2 linked regions of the Pelodiscus sinensis genome follow. The protein of the gene in region 1 interacts with the protein of each later gene in a pairwise test. Links are inferred from orthologs where the notes say so. Each region holds a gene or a part of one and is shown on either strand. Other genes may lie near its edges.

What was found.
Region 2: the proteins of SF3A3 (region 1) and TADA2A interact in binary tests that used the Homo sapiens proteins (3 or more experiments, as listed by UniProt). The two-hybrid records come from large-scale screens. The link is inferred for Pelodiscus sinensis from reciprocal best matches to the Homo sapiens genes SF3A3 and TADA2A.

The regions. Positions count from the first base shown.
Region 1 is NC_134735.1:10,736,927-10,744,332, reverse strand, and holds the start of SF3A3 (splicing factor 3A subunit 3), read left to right. Parts: upstream 1-4,373; 5' UTR 4,374-4,383; intron 4,384-4,423; 5' UTR 4,424-4,447; coding exon 4,448-4,543; intron 4,544-4,980; coding exon 4,981-5,028; intron 5,029-6,211; coding exon 6,212-6,264; intron 6,265-7,406. UniProt on the Homo sapiens protein: Component of the 17S U2 SnRNP complex of the spliceosome, a large ribonucleoprotein complex that removes introns from transcribed pre-mRNAs.
Region 2 is NC_134731.1:8,816,283-8,824,428, forward strand, and holds the start of TADA2A (transcriptional adapter 2-alpha), read left to right. Parts: upstream 1-5,060; 5' UTR 5,061-5,216; intron 5,217-8,146. Other genes in the region: C21H17orf78 (uncharacterized protein C17orf78 homolog), read left to right, coding at 258-356. UniProt on the Homo sapiens protein: Component of the ATAC complex, a complex with histone acetyltransferase activity on histones H3 and H4. Required for the function of some acidic activation domains, which activate transcription from a distant site. Binds double-stranded DNA.

The sequences.
Region 1 (7,406 bases):
CAACTCGCTGAACCCTTCTGAGGCCGCCCTCCCACTCAGACACGTGCTGGATTTTATGAGTCTCTCTTCCCTTTAACTTTGCCCTTTTCCTCTCCGCCTTTGTTTCTTGAGAAAGGTCATTGTGCCTCCGACGCTGGGGTCAGCCCTGATCCTAAATCCAGCTGGCAGCATCTCACTGCAGCCTGTGCCACCATATATGGTCAGTACTGGGGAGAGAACCAGTAGAACAGGGCTGGAGGTGGCTTGGACGGCAGCCATCAGGAGGGCTTGGACTCAGCTGCATGCTGAAACCCCTCTGTGCTGTGGCCAGCCGGAGCTGCTCTTTGGAGCTCAGCAACTTTGGTATGGAACGGTACGAAGTGCAACAGGGGAAGCAAGCACCCCTCTCCCTGTGGAGAAGGATGGGGCCAAAGAGCCCAAGAGATACCAGAGCCCCAGACAAATATAACTCAGAAAAACCTCAAACCTCCATGTCCTTCAACACCCCTCCTCCTCCTCCCGCAGAGAGTCCCTGGCAAACCCATGCAGGCAGAGCTGTTCCCACCTCTTCTCCCTCCCCCACCCCAGGGCATGTTTCAAACTGAGCCTGGCTAGTTCTCCTTACATAGAGGTTTCCAAGTGACTGCAAAGAGTTGAGCAAAATTTAAGGTAAGGTGCCAAGTGGCCCCATAAAATGATTCAGGGGCTCCACTCCCCCCCACCCCGCTGCACGTCAGGAGAATCTGACATGTGTCTGTCACAAGGTAACGCTTTTCCATGTCTGAGACAGCGGCAGAGGGCCACACACTTCGTTCTAGGTCGGCTCTGACTGGTACTCGCCTGCTCGGTCACCAGGCCAGGCCCTCCCAGCGATGCGGCACCTTTGGCGCTCCGTAACACCGAGGGCCCCAGATGAGTCACTACGCCATGGTGGTTAGCTCCCAGCTGCACCACGGGAATGGTTGAAGGGGAAAGCCTGGCCATAAATGAAGGGGAACAACAAATTGAAGGTTTGAGGGCAGCGGCTCTGAGCAGCCAAAACAAAAGACGTTTTCTTTGGAATTCAGGGCTTTTCCTGGCAGAAATTCACAGTTTTCTCGCCAATGGGACACTTGGCAGGTCAACCCCCCTTCTAACCCCCCCTTGCTACCGGGCCTCTACCCATGCCGTAGGATGAGCTCATCCCACTAAGCTGGCTAGGAGGTGGGTAGAGTCTGGGTGCCCCAGGGCAATGACCAGATGGGATTGATGTCTTGCTAGGGCACTGACAATGCAGTTTCTGGGAGCAAAAGCCTCCATCTCGGGTATCACCATGCAGAAGAGGATTCCTGTGAGAGATTCTCCAGTTCCAGGGCCCGATAGCCCCACAGCAGCACCTACCAAGTGGTCACTGCTATGGAAAAGAATCAGACCGGTGACTTCTGGGAGGCAGAGCCTAATGCTGCAAATAAGGCACAGGCCTGACCTCCCAGCTCCGCCACAGACTTCTCGTGTGGCCCTTGGCAAAGTCACTGCCCTGCCTTCACCTCCCCAGCTGTGTGAGGTGGCTAATGATCCCACGCTTCCTCACGGGAGAGGGGGGAATGTAAAGCCGTTCACGGGTCTGAGCTGTGCAGGCACCAGCTCTAAATCAGATACAGGGGGCCAATGCTGCCATCACGCCAAGAGAACCAAACCGCATCTGATGAGAGCAGCAGCTAGTTCCACCTTCAGGGGAGAGAGAGTGCACAAGCTGCTCTCCAGAAAAGCGAAAGCCTGCCATCTGCTGGACACAAGCCACAAGCCAGCCCTTGTTTTGTCCCGGGGCTCCCACAGCTCAAGAGCTTACAACGCTCACCTTCCCGTGAATGGGCTGGGAGAGACCAGAGCGTGGGTCTGCCCTACTAGTTATGTCTCCATGGCAAACAGGCAACTTCCTGCTTCTGCAGCCAGGAAAGCAGTGCTTAGTATTGAGGAGTAGAACCGGAAGGGTTTTCGGTGACATTAGTCAAGTTTTCATTCAATGCTGCTGCAAAGATCAGGGGCAATTAGTGCCTGTGGGGGAAGGGGGTATGAGGGCCACTCTGATGGGTAGGAGGCATATGGGGGCACCCCATTTAGCAATTAAAATGTTGGTGGGGGCATAGCGGGCAGTGCACCTACAATGTGCTACCTCTGGCATAGATCATTTTCCTGGCTCGCTGTGCTGTCTTGTACCTCTGTTCAGCCTCCCCTCATTTACCTTTCTTTCACTGCATTAAGTGCAAACTACCTGTCTTTACTTTCAAGGCCTTATCTGACCTATCCCATGCCTGAATTGTCATCCATAGAACAGTCATGTAATTAATACCCCCTCGCCTCATGTGCACTATCGACCCATGAAAATGGCACTTTGGGCTTTCCATCAATGCTTGTTGATCAGGCAGCGGGCTTTGCAGTGCACTCAAAGGCTTTCTTTGTGCTGTTCTTCACAGGTCAGATCTAGAGAGGAGAGGAAGAAGGCCAGAGCACCCCAAATGCTGTGCCCACAGCCCCTCCCTTTTACTGCACCGTGAACTCCAAGTGCTCAAAAGTCATGAGTCAAGGGCCAGAGCCAAATAATCATGAGATTGGCTGAAACATCATGAGATTTAAAGCAAACACTCGGTGTGTGTGAAGGGCGGACATATTTATTTATTTTCTGATTTCTAAGCCTGCAGGCCAGGCTCAGGTTATGTTGTCTGCGAAGTGGTGAGGGCTAGAAGCGTCTTTATTTTCAAGGACAGAGATGGCTATGTACACAATGTTTTACTGACCCTGCAACTATCAGCACATGCACAAAGAAATTAGAAGAGCAGGCAATGCTACTTGTAGGTAGGGGGTTCCAGCTTGGAGTAAGGGGCTGGGCTAGGCCTGTGCTGTCAACAGTGGTGACAATGGCAGCTGTCTCACACACACACACAGTGCACAATGATCACAGGCATATGTGCACCCACGCATAAGGTGCACAGGGCACTCACATAGACTGAATGTAACCCACACACCTCGTGAAGTTCACTGTCCCATGTAGTGGCATTTAGACCACTTACAGCTAGATATAAGAACAAGGGAGCTCTACAGCCACAGCTAAGTGGTAGATGGCTTTATAGCTCAAGCTGTAGAGGGTCTATACTAAACTCCAAAGAGCTCAGGTTCAAATCTGGCCCGTGGTGGTTATCAGTGGGCACTTGTCAGCAATTTCAACTGGGTCTCAAGCTCAGAATGCACTTCCTCAGCTAGGGGGGAAGTATGTAACCCACCCATCTCATGTGGTTCACTGTCTTATGTAGTGGCACTTAGACCACTTACAGCCAGAGATAAGAACAAGGGAGCTCTACAGCCTAAGCTGAGTGGCAGCTGGCTTCGTAGCTCAAGCTGTGAGAGACTCTTATAGTGACCTCCAGAGGTCCCAGATTTAAATCTGCTCGGTGGCACTTAGTGGCACTTACATACGTGCACACACAGCTGGTATTCAACCCATGCAAAGGACACACACAGAGGCATATGCACATGTAGCCCCCCACACCTACGGGGGGGGGTTCACTGTCCGACAAGGCACTGAGACCGCTTACAGAGAGAATTATGCGATCGTGTTCTACAGCCGAATCTGAGGCCAACTGGGTTTTAGCTCAAGCTGTGGACAGAGGCTCTTGCACTAAGCTGCAGAGAGGACCCCGGTTCGGTTCTGCCTCTTGGCGTTACACGTGCATGTGCGCACACAGGACATATAGGACACGTGTCTACATGCAAAGGATGCACACCCACGGGGGGCACATGCACACACACACTGCAGGGACACACGCACACGGAACACACGGAACTCTGCTGTCAGTGTCCAACGGGGGGCGCATCCCGAGGGAGGGTTTCCGGTCGGGCCGGGGACAGAGGCGCACCGGAGGGAGGGTTTCCGGTCGGGCCGGGGACAGAGGCGCACCGGAGGGAGGGTTTCCGGTCGGGCCGGGGACAGAGGCGCACCGGAGGGAGGGTTTCCGGTCGGGTTGGTGACAGGGGAGCGCACCGGAGGGAGGGTTTCCGGTCGGGTTGGTGACAGGGGAGCACCGGAGGGAGGGTTTCCGGTCGGGTTGGTGACAGGGGAGCGCACCGGAGGGAGGGTTTCCGGTCGGGTTGGTGACAGGGGAGCGCACCGGAGGGAGGGTTTCCGGTCGGGTTGGTGACAGGGGAGCACCGCAGGGAGGGTTTCCGGTCGGGCGGGGGACAGAAGCGCACCGGAGGGAGGGTTTCCGGTCGGGTTGGTGACAGGGGAGCGCACCGGAGGGAGGGTTTCCGGTCGGGTTGGTGACAGGGGAGCGCACCGGAGGGAGGGTTTCCGGTCGGGTTGGTGACAGGGGAGCACCGGAGGGAGGGTTTCCGGTCGGGTTGGTGACAGGGGAGCGCACCGGAGGGAGGGTTTCCGGTCGGGCCGGGGACAGAGGCGCACCGCAGGGAGGGTTCCGGCTGGCGCGCGGGGAAGATGGAGACGATCCTGGAGCAGCAGCGGCGCTACCATGAGGAGCGGGAGCGGCTCATGGACGTGATGGCCAAGGAGATGCTGATTAAGAAATCCACGGTGCGGGGGGGAGGGGCCCTGCTCTTCCGCCCGCGTGTCGGGCCGGCCTCAGCCCTCCCCTCCCGGAGGGGCCCCCAGCAGGGCTGGGTGCGGGGCAGTGACTGTCCTGGGGCGAGCCGGGCACCAGACAGCCCCCCACAGCGCAGCTTCCTGGCCCATGGGCCCCTGGCTCCCTGACGTGGGCCCCCGTTCACCCGTCTCTGTCCCAGGGGTGGCCCCCCTCATAATTCCCCCACCTCAGTGAAGCCGCCTCCCGTCAGAGCGCGGTGCAAGTGCAGTGCGATGCCAATGACCCACCAGCAGCCTTTGTCCCAGTGAGCGACTCCTCGCATACCCCTAGCTGACTGGGGCAGATGAAGACTGTTCTTTGCTGAACTTTCCCAGATTTGGAGTTGGGGAAAGCGTGGCTAATCTTTTTTTTCTGATCTGTCTTATAGTTACGGGACCAGATTAACTCTGATCATCGCACCCGAGCGATGCAGGACGTGAGTATCGCCTCTTCTCTTTCCCTCGCGCCTTGTTCCCTAAAGATTATGGGCTGGAGCACAGGCTGTTTCGGTGTAGTGAGTTACTTAAGCGATACATCGCAAACTGTATTTCTGGATGTGTGTAGCACAGGGGTTCTCAAACTTCATTGCTCTGCAACCTCTTTCTGACAGCAGAAGATACTATACCACCCTAGGAGAGAGACCAAAACCTGAGCCTGTCCAAGCCGCACCATCCCAGGTGGGAGTGGGGCCAAAACCCCACCGCCATGATGTTGAGGCAAAGCCCGAAGCCAAGAGCTTTTGTCCCAGGCATGGGGCCTGTAACTTGAGCCCTGCCACCTGAGCTGAAATTCTTGGTCTTTGGCTTTAGCTTCGGGCAGTGGGGTTTGAGCTTTGGCCCTGGGCCCCAGTGAGTCTAAGCGAGTCCTTGCAATCCCATTAAAATAGGGTTGGAACCCACTTTGGGGTCCTGGCCCACAGTTTGAGAATTGCTGGTATAACACATTAAGATTGCAGGGTGCAAGGTTAAAAAAAAATGGTTTTGTGTGCGGCATAGTAACTGATAGACATATGCAAGCTGATAACAGTATTTACTGGAGTTTTGCTTACCATAAAGTTCATGAGCTGAGTTTGCCTAGATTTGGTTCTATCTGCAAATTTTTAAAGTGTTTTCATATTTATACCAATATTTATTCTGCAGAGATACTTGATACTGAAGTTATAGGATTTATTTTGCACAATGCTTGATGCATCTGCATTACCTTTTACCAGAACCTGGGCACATGGAACATAAGTAATTCCATCCTGCACCCTAACTCATCAGTTTTAGCATTAAAAACATTTAGCTATATTTTAAATCAGCTGTATTATTTTCATTGCAGCTAATTTATTAAACAGCAAAACTCCACAGAAGATCATGAAATGACTTGGGTAGCGAGATATTGTATTTCCCTGAAAATACTTTCAGCTGCTAAATTTCCCTATAATGTTTCATTACCTTTCACTGAGCAGCCTTTCATTTCTTTGTCTGTTTAGCTCAAGTTTGTGGGATTGTTATTTCAAATGTAAGCAAGCTTTTGCAAGCTTCCAAGAAAGCAGCTTATTTTTCCTAACTCTGCATGTTGTGCTGAAGTGCAGCAAAAGTATATGCATAACTGTAACATGTTTTTTTGTTTTTTAGAGATATATGGAAGTGAGTGGCAATCTGAGAGACCTGTATGATGATAAGGATGGGTAAGTGTCTGCAAAAAAGATGTGAACGGGCTTTTTTAAAAGCTGAAAGATCTGCTAGCTAAACACCTTCACACAGAGTATGTCTGCAAGCACTTTAACAGCCCCTTAGCCCAAGCCCTGCATACCCAAGTCAGTTGACACAGGCCAATTGCTGGTTTTTAATTTCAGTGTAGATGTCCCTTTAGTGCTTTCAGAGCTACAGGAGAGTCTTACTGGCACTTCTTTAGGTCACATATAAAGAGAGCGATGCATTTAGAGCTATGATGATAGAAATGTAGCCCTGTTAGTCTGGTCTAGCTGAAACAAAAAACAGGACTATGTAGCACTTTAAAGACTAGCAAGATGGTTTATTAGGTGAGCAGCTTTTGTGGGCCAGACCCACTTCCTCAAATCAAATAGTGGAAGAAAATTTAGGAAAATTTTCTTCCACTATTTGATCTGAGGAAGTGGGTCTGGCCCACGAAAGCTCATCACCTAATAAACCATCTTGCTAGTCTTTAAAGTGCTACATAGTCCTGTTTTTTGTTTAATTTAGAGCTATGGCACTTGTTTAAAAAAAAAAAAAATCCCCCCCCCCCACCTTTCTCCAAAGCAAATTTAAGTTTTCTTGCAGAAGTTTTATTGCACTTGCCAGTTTTTAACATGAGAGTAAAAGTCTAATGCTGGAAACAAATCCCTGACCAGACATTATTAGTAGGCGTCTTGACATAACTTCATCAGTGCCATAGAGCAACATGTCGTTGCAAAGCTGTCACTGACATAAGATTTGCCAGCAAAGTACTGTTTGATCCAAAGTGTGTGGGAGTAGGAAGGGGAGGGAAAGAATAAATCTGCCATAAATCTAGCCCTTCTAAAATATCATGTTGGAGAAAAAATCACGACTGAAATGGTCCATCAAATAAGATGCAGTTAGGGCTGAGTTATCTGCACTCCCATTTGTAGGTGTAATGACCTTTAAGAGGGGGGAACCAACAAAAACAACTGAATGTGCCAATTGCAGTGTTTCCCTTCTGGTTCATACTAAGACCTATACACGGTTAAAGATTCCTGCAAATCCCATTTAACTTGCTGTGTGTTGCTTCTTCAGTAGAATAAGGGACAAGAAGGGGTGTTGCTGATTCTGCACACTTCAGCAGTAAATT
Region 2 (8,146 bases), on another chromosome or scaffold:
TGGACTCTCTGTTGTTTTGTAGGCCCTAGATTTAATTATTCAAAGATCCCCCGCAAGAGGGCATATGCCATGCTGCAGATGTCTGGGGCAAAAGCCACATTGTTTCATGCTTTTACACTCTGAAGTGCATTCTTGTCAAAATTCAGATTAGTCTTTCTAGAAACAAATCATCATTATGCTAGCTTCAAATTCTTGGTGTTTTGGTCTGTCAACGTCTTTCCTACCAACCTTCTAATGGCTTCTGTTTCTTTTCTGAGCGTCCATGCCTTCGTTGGAGCCGGCGATGCAACTGTATTCAGAAATGTAAACGGCAAGAAAGAGAAAGCACAGACATCCCAAATTCTGTATCATCTTAAGGACGTGTCATGGTGGGTCACAAAAAGGGAACCACAGAGTTTTTTAAATGTAGTTCAGTAACAATTATTTCATTTAACAATACAGATCTCCTTCAACCCTTAGGCAAAGATCAGTTCACATTTAAAAAAAAAGAAGCTGTTATCCACTTGGTATGGCAGGGGAGGGAGGAGGGAGACTTCTAATGCTGTTCCCGCCCCCCAGCAAAATCTCTTACCTCTCATTGGCCAATCTCTCAGTTTTGGGCCAATATGAGCTGAGAATTTTTGTGGGAGCAGAGGCAGTGTAGGAAGCCTTCTCCCTTCCTCCTCATCCATCCTTCTTCCCCTTTCCCTTCCCTCTCATGCCCACAGCAGAGCCATGTGGAGCTGCAAGCAGCCTGCAGCTGTCAGTCTGCCTTAGGTTTCTGCTGGTAAATGCCTCCTAGCAGAGCCTGCCTCTGGCACCCTAGCCCCTCCCTTCTCCAACCCTCTGCCCCCCCCTACTCAAACCCTTTGCCCCTACTGTACCTATACCCCCTCCCAGATCTGGCACCCCAGTCTCCTGTCTCAGATCACAATCCCCTCCTAGCCTAGGTCACATCCCAAAATCCTGCATCCCAGTCCCGTCTTCTTCACCCAAACTCCCTCTGAGACCCCATTCTCCCTGCTGCACCCCAATCCCGTATCCAAAGCTCCCTTCTGTACTCAACCTCCATCCCAGACCCCTCACCTCCTCCATTAATATTCTGGAAAAGTATGGCCTTCAATCACATTCCAAAAATCTTGGAATGGTCCCCCGTCAAAAATTATTGACCACCCCTGTTGTATGTTCACAGATGAATGGCTGAAGGCAACATTTGAAGCCTGCAAAAGAGAACACACTTCATTTCAAAATCTTGTGTAAATAATTAAATGCCAAAGATCTGCAAAAAATGAATAAAAGTGGCCTTCTAGCCTAATTGCGAAAAGAACACTTCCTCTAAGCAATCTAGATTCTGTCTTTCTAAATCAGCATCACCCATCCTCCATGGGGACATACAAAATTTCAGACAAAATTAACATCACAATAGGCATAAAAACATGTCACATTTGAATAGCGACAATAACTTTTTTTTAGGAAGTTTTGGTTGTTTGGAAGAGGCAATTGCTACTAGCTACAATACCAATCTTACAGAAAATAGGTGGACACCTCTGCAGAGCTTACTGCATGACCAGAACATAACAATATATTTGAAAGCATGAAATATTATTTAGAATAATCAGTGCATACATATGTGTATATAAAAATCTGTACAAATTTGCCTTAATCTCCGCGAGACCTTCGGACATCAGATGCAGTCATAATAAATAAAAATGTATTTGACTGACCCAGAAGAGCGATGCTGCAGTAAACACGCCCAAAGTGATCCTGGTGTTACGCCACTAGAATATTACTGTGCTACAGGGGATAAATTATGAAATTTCTGGCACATGTGTAACCATATTCTACAGGGAGTCTCAGCTGTGTCATTTCTAAATCCCAGGTCTTTCTGCAAAACAAGATTCACTGACTCCATTCAAATCCCTCTCAGTGCCCCCAATAGCCCCCTCCACAACACAGATAACATAGTTGTCAAGTGAGTACAAGATGACCAGAATGTAACAAACACAGCATTAGGAAGCAGTCAGGGAAAGATCACAAAGGCTCTAGACTGCAGATGGATGGGAACGGTGCAGGGAGGAACCTGGGAATTCATCAATTTAGGAAGCTTATTTATGGACTACTACAGAAAGTGGAGATTAAACTCCTCCATTGTATATTTCCACTGAATTTAGCAGTGTCACACCATGAAAGATTTTGTTCCAGAGAACAGAGGTTAGTCATAAATGTATTTGTATTATACAAACTGTATTATATAACTAGGAAAATGAACTATAAATGCATTGAAAAACATTTGGGAAAGTTCTGGAACTGACAGGAGTTTTATTATACATGATGTGGAATTTCCAAATTCCAAAAGGAATCAGTTTCAAACAGCAAATGCAATAAATTGTGCTGAGCAGAGAGCAGGACTAGAACTACTCACAATCTCTATTTCTCATCTTCATCTCAAACCTTTGGATCACTGCCTGCCACCTACATATCCACCTTCATGTCATCCTTATATCCTGTCTCATTCCTCACTCTTCTTCCTAGCCTATTCTCACTCTCCATCATGCACCTTCTTCTGTACCAAGACTCATAACTGTCATCCATGTCACCTTACTAGATCACTTATGAAAAGTCCTGGCAGAGTCTATCATGAAGGGGTGATGTACTGGTGTTTAGCATATTTGCAGGAACTGTGTGTTATTTTCAGCTAAACGGATAATAGAATGACTATTACCAATGGAAAACAGACGCCAGTCCATGGAAAACATTAATTACTTGTTATTCCACTGACACAAAGATACACAGGTTTTGGAAAGGATCATTGTTTTTTGGTTTGGAAGATTTCATTAAAACAAACATTTTCTTCTTACCAAAGTTTATGGGCTATCCTCTCCCCCTTTTGATATCTGAGCATCCATATCATTCTTTCTAGCACACATACTGCTTTGTGCATTCCTCTGACCCTTACAGCAACATAACATTCTGCAGAGATTAATGCTGCCTGTAATACGTAAGCCTTTATGATTTAGGGAAAAACCTCCCAAATGTTATTTAATCCAGCTCTATCTTCTAAAGTCTGTGATATACTTGCTCTCAGATATGTAAACTCATATTACTAGGAAGTCAAAAGGTGACAATATAAGTATCAGCTTACTTAATTAAGAGCCCTGTCTACATGAGAACTACATCAATGTAATTACATGGATGCAAACCCCTGCTGTAAGTGGTTATCATCAAGTTCCATTCATTACAATGGAAACAGGAGACTCATGTATGGTCATTTATGCTACAAATATAGACAGTTAAGTAAAGTGGTTGCAACAAAGCAGTACACAGATTCTAACCCAGATTCAAAATTGTGCCAACATGTAGTACAGATAGGATCTCATCCCTATTTTATAACATGGCTAAATAATGGCCATGTGTCACGTGTCTGCTGTTTTTACAGATTATTCCTCAGATAGATGTACTAGGAAGTAAAATTAGAGCTGAGAACCAGGCCAAACTAATTTATCTGCCAGACAGAATTAAGAGTAATTTAGTTGAGTGAATGCAGAATAAAAATTAAATAAAGGGCAAGCATTTAAATGTTTCACTTGTAACATGGATGTGACAAAGTGGGGGTTCCATTCGCTCTGTCCGCTTTATGTTGCATGTGATTTCTGTTGTCCTGCACTGTAGTAACTTTGTGTGTGGATCTGTTTCCCTGGGCATAGCACCAGTGCCAAATTGGAGATGGGAATTTTGGGTGTGACTCTCACTGAGGGGAGGCTGACCAGGCTAGCACGGTCACAATGGCCCAGGTTCACTGTAAGGTGAGCCTGGAAGGGAGATGCAAACAGGTGACACCTTAAGCTCAGGAAGCTGAACAAAGGAAGAAGTGGGGCTGCCTATAAAGCTGGGTCGGGCTGCGGAGTGAGTTAGTCTCCGCTGGCTTAAGATACAGAGGGAGGGCCCTGGCTCCAGGCCCCCCTTTTCCTCAAGGTGGATTGTACTGTCTGCTTTTGGTTCCTGTACTAACAAATATGTTTTACCTTGTATCCCTGAGAACTAATGAACCTTCTGTTCTACCTGCTGCCTGAGAGTCACACCTGGCTGCAGATGTGTGCAGGGACCCCCATGTTGCAAAAATAAATATAAACAATAGCCTTCAAATTAATATAAATTGAAGCTCTCCTGCCAATGAAGAGACCCAAGTAAATCTGAACTCTTTATGTATTGCCAAGGCTGCAGCACAGAGGGGGAGGGAGACTGGCCAGACCCCAGTTTCATTATTTAACAGTGCTAGCAAGGAGGAAACTATTTACCCATAATTATTATTCTGCAGCTTTGCAGGAACTACACGTTGCCAAAGTCCAGAGACGAACCTTGGTGCCTGCAGATGGTTTTCAGGCATACTTCTAAACACAGCCTAAAGGGTGCCTTGGTTTTACAAACAAAACAAAACAAAAAAGCAAAACAAACAAATCTTCACCACAATCAATGATGTCAAACTCCACAAGCCCCGTGCTGCCAACGGGGCGACTCCAACCCCACCACTCCTCCCCCCCCCCCACGGTGCGACCCCCAACCCCACCGCTCCTCCCCCCCCCCACGATGCGACCCCCAACCCCACCGCTCCTCCCCCCCCCACGATGCGACCCCCAACCCCACCGCTCCTCCCCCCCCACAGTGCAACCCCCAACCCCACCGCTCCTCCCCCCCCACAGTGCAACCCCCAACCCCACCGCTCCTCCCCCCCCACAGTACAACCCCCAACCCCACTGCTCCTCCCCCCCTCCTCTCGCAGTACGACCCCCCAACCCCACCGTTCCTCCCCCCCCAGTTCTCGCCTCACAGAGTGCGACCCCCAACCCCACCGCTCCTCCCCCCCTCCTCTCGCAGTACGACCCCCCAACCCCATCGCTCCTCCTCCCCCACGGTGCGACCCCCCCCAACTCCAGCCTCCCGCGGTGCGACCCCGCTGCCCCTTTTCACCGTTGCGAGCCCAACCCCGCCCCCTCTCACGCCAGCCCTCCCCTCACAGCCTCCGTGCCGAGGTCGACCCGCCCCCGGCTGCAGTGCCACACGCCACCGGCGACGTGACCCAAACGCGCGGCGTGAGGGCACGAGCCTCACACACCCCCCCCCCCGCCCGCCTCGTGAGCGCGCACGTACGCGTGCCCAGCCGCGCCGAGCCTGAGCACGTGGGGACGGCCGCTGGGACTGGAGCGGAGTCGGGCTCGGGGCCTGAGCGAAGCCGGCGTGAGGTGACGGGCTGGGGGCAAAGCGGGCCGCGAGCCCGGGAGAGACCATGCGGCGGCGGGGCGGGGTGGGAGGGGGTGAGAAGTAGGAAGATACCAAGTGAAGCGGAGAGGGGGGTGCGAGCTTAGGCAGGCGGTGGCTGCGCGCTCCCAGCCACCTCAGATGCGCGCTCTGGCGGGAGCGCGGCGCCTCCCCTGCTGTTCCGTTAGGGGGCACTGGGGTAAACCGCCGCCGCGTGGACTTCAGGGGCGGGGCTTGCTGGGGTGGGCGGGGCTTGGGCGGGGGAGGGGCGGGTCCCACAGGGAAGGGGGAGGGCAGTAGGGTCCCTACTGGTTCCTGGAGGAGGGGTTGGGAACAGTGGTCCCAGTAAGCCCGGGGTGGGGAACTTTTTTTTTGGGGGGGGGGGGGGGCACAGACCCATCAAAACATCAGTTGGGGGCCACACACAAAAGAGAAGCACAAAAAAACCCTCTTAGTGTCCTGGCCCCCTGAGGAGAAAAAAAACCCTCCCAGATGTAGCCCCCCCCCTCAGAATCAGGGGGAAAAAACTCCCCTCAAGCTTCAGCCCCATGGGGAGGCCCTAGGGCCAAATTAACTCCTCCAGAGCCTGGGGCTACTAGGGTTTGTTTGGCAGGGCCAAAAAGGAGGGGTTCAGTGTGCAGGAGGGGGCTGCCAGGAGCGGGCTGGGGGTAGGAGTTCGGGTTGTGGGCAGGAGGTAGGGTGCAGGTGTGGACTGGGGTTGAGGGAGTAGGGTCTGCAAGGGTGGAAGATGCAGGAGGAGGATGAAGATGCAGAGTCTGGAGGGGGGGTCTGGAAGAGAGGGGGTGCGTGGGGAGGGTCAGAAGAAGGAAATAAAGGTGATATGATGCACACGATCAGGAAGAACTCTCCCAGCATAAGAGGCAGCATGAAAGAAGTCTTGCAGGCTTAGTCATCTCAGTGAGCCACAAGATTGTTGTAACCAAGACGATTTCGTGGGGTAGGGTAGTTTTGCTAACTGTGCTTCCCTATCTAGCATTTGCAGGGGCGCCGATTGAACTGTAGCAGCATTTCGATCGGAGGCAGAGGACATGCACGACTGTCACAGTCAATGTAGTGTGCACTCTAGAGATGTTAAATTGCGGTTAATTGACTAGTCGAGTGGTTGATGGAATTTCCATCGACTACTCGATAGGCACTTCTGCATTCCTCCTTTGAAATGCACAAGAGCCCTGTTGGGGTTTTTGTGCATTTCAAAGGAGGAATGCAGAACTCCGCCTGCAGCCGGGGCCAGTGGGAAGTCCCACTGACTCTGGGCTCCACACTGGCGTGTCTGCTTTGAAATGTACAAGAGTCCGCAGCAGGGACTCTTGTGCATTTCAAAGCCATGGAGCCCAGGGTCAGCGTGGGACTCTCCAGCTGACCTCAGGTTCCATGCAGAATTACAGTGGAACCCAGATCAGCTGGGGAGTCCCCAGCTGACCCCGGGCTCCTTGGCAGCTGCCCCTTTGAAATGCCAGAGGTGGTGTTTTAAAGGGGCAGCCCCCTTTGAAATGCCTCCTTGGAGTACCTCTTCTTTGAAGTACCCCTTCTCCCCCCCCCTTTACTGACTCTGATAGAGGCAGCAAAGCAGGAGGAATTGACTAGTTGACTGACTATCTGATAAGCATTTGCTTATCGGAAGGTCGACTAGTCTTTAACATCCCTAGTGCAATCAGCGCTCACATCATTCCATGTGTCCTTGCTTTACAACAGGGATGGTGAACCTAAGGCCCAGGGGCCAAATGCAGTCCCCCAGCTTGCCTAGATCTGGCCCCCAGGGGCTCGGGGCTCCTCCCCTCCCCCATTGGGAAGACTGCACTGGCATTCCAGACCCCCACTGCCTCCCACCTGACTGATTTTTATGTGGGTCAGCAGCCCCCGCCCCAAAAAGGTTCTCCACCCTTGCTTTACAAGCATGCCACTTTAGTAATATGCGGATTGAACCCAGCAGAATCTGGCAACCCTGTGCAAGGGCAATAATAAACTAAATGTCTCGTGGGCCACACAAGAACCCTGAAGGGGAGCATGCAGCCTACTACTGTTCTAGACGAAAGTAGTGTTTCTCAGGGAGTGATCTGTGGTGCTGGCTCCCTGAGATCTCCCTGACACAGTTTAGGAAGGCAGAGGCCAGGTATCAAAAAGATTAAGAAACACTGGACTAGAGTACACTCTTTGTCTTTCCTATGCTTGCATATAGTTGAAAGGGTCTTTATCCCATACCTAATTTTAGTAGCTGTTTATTCTAGCATACATATCTATTGCAGTCCTCCATTTAGTTTTTTGTTTGTTTGTTACTACTGCTACATTTTAAATGTTTCACAAGAGTGAAATTTATATTATTAAAGCAGTGGTCCCCAACCTTTAGAGGCTCCCAGCCCCGGGGGCGGGGCAACTCACGCGCCGGGCGCCCGGGGGCAGGACCGCGCGTCCGGGAGCACGCCAGGCGACTGGGATGCCCTTGCACCCGGCACCGGCATGTGCTCTAGGGCCGGGGCTGGGGCCGCCCGAGCCGCGCGCCTGGGGCTGGCACCGGCGCCGCTCGAGCGCCGCGTGCCCAAGCGCCTGCATATGCCCCGGGGCTGGGGCCGCCCGAGTGCCGCGAACCCGGTGCCGGTGCATGTCGAGCGCCTGGGGCCGGCGCCACCCGTGCGCCGCGGGCGGGGCTGGCCCAGGTTGTCGGCGGGCGCACACAAATGCCCCGGTGGGCATCATGGCGCCCACGGGCACCGTGTTGGGGACCACTGTATTAAAGGATCTTGGGTGGGAATCAATTTTGATTAAAATAGATTCAAGTAACAAGTTTCTAACAAAATTCTATCTTACTTTGGGGAGGTCTGAGTTTTACTGCTGTCCTGCTTCCTGCTGGAAACTTTGCTGTAGTCTTTGGATCACATTTCAGATCTGCATCAGGACT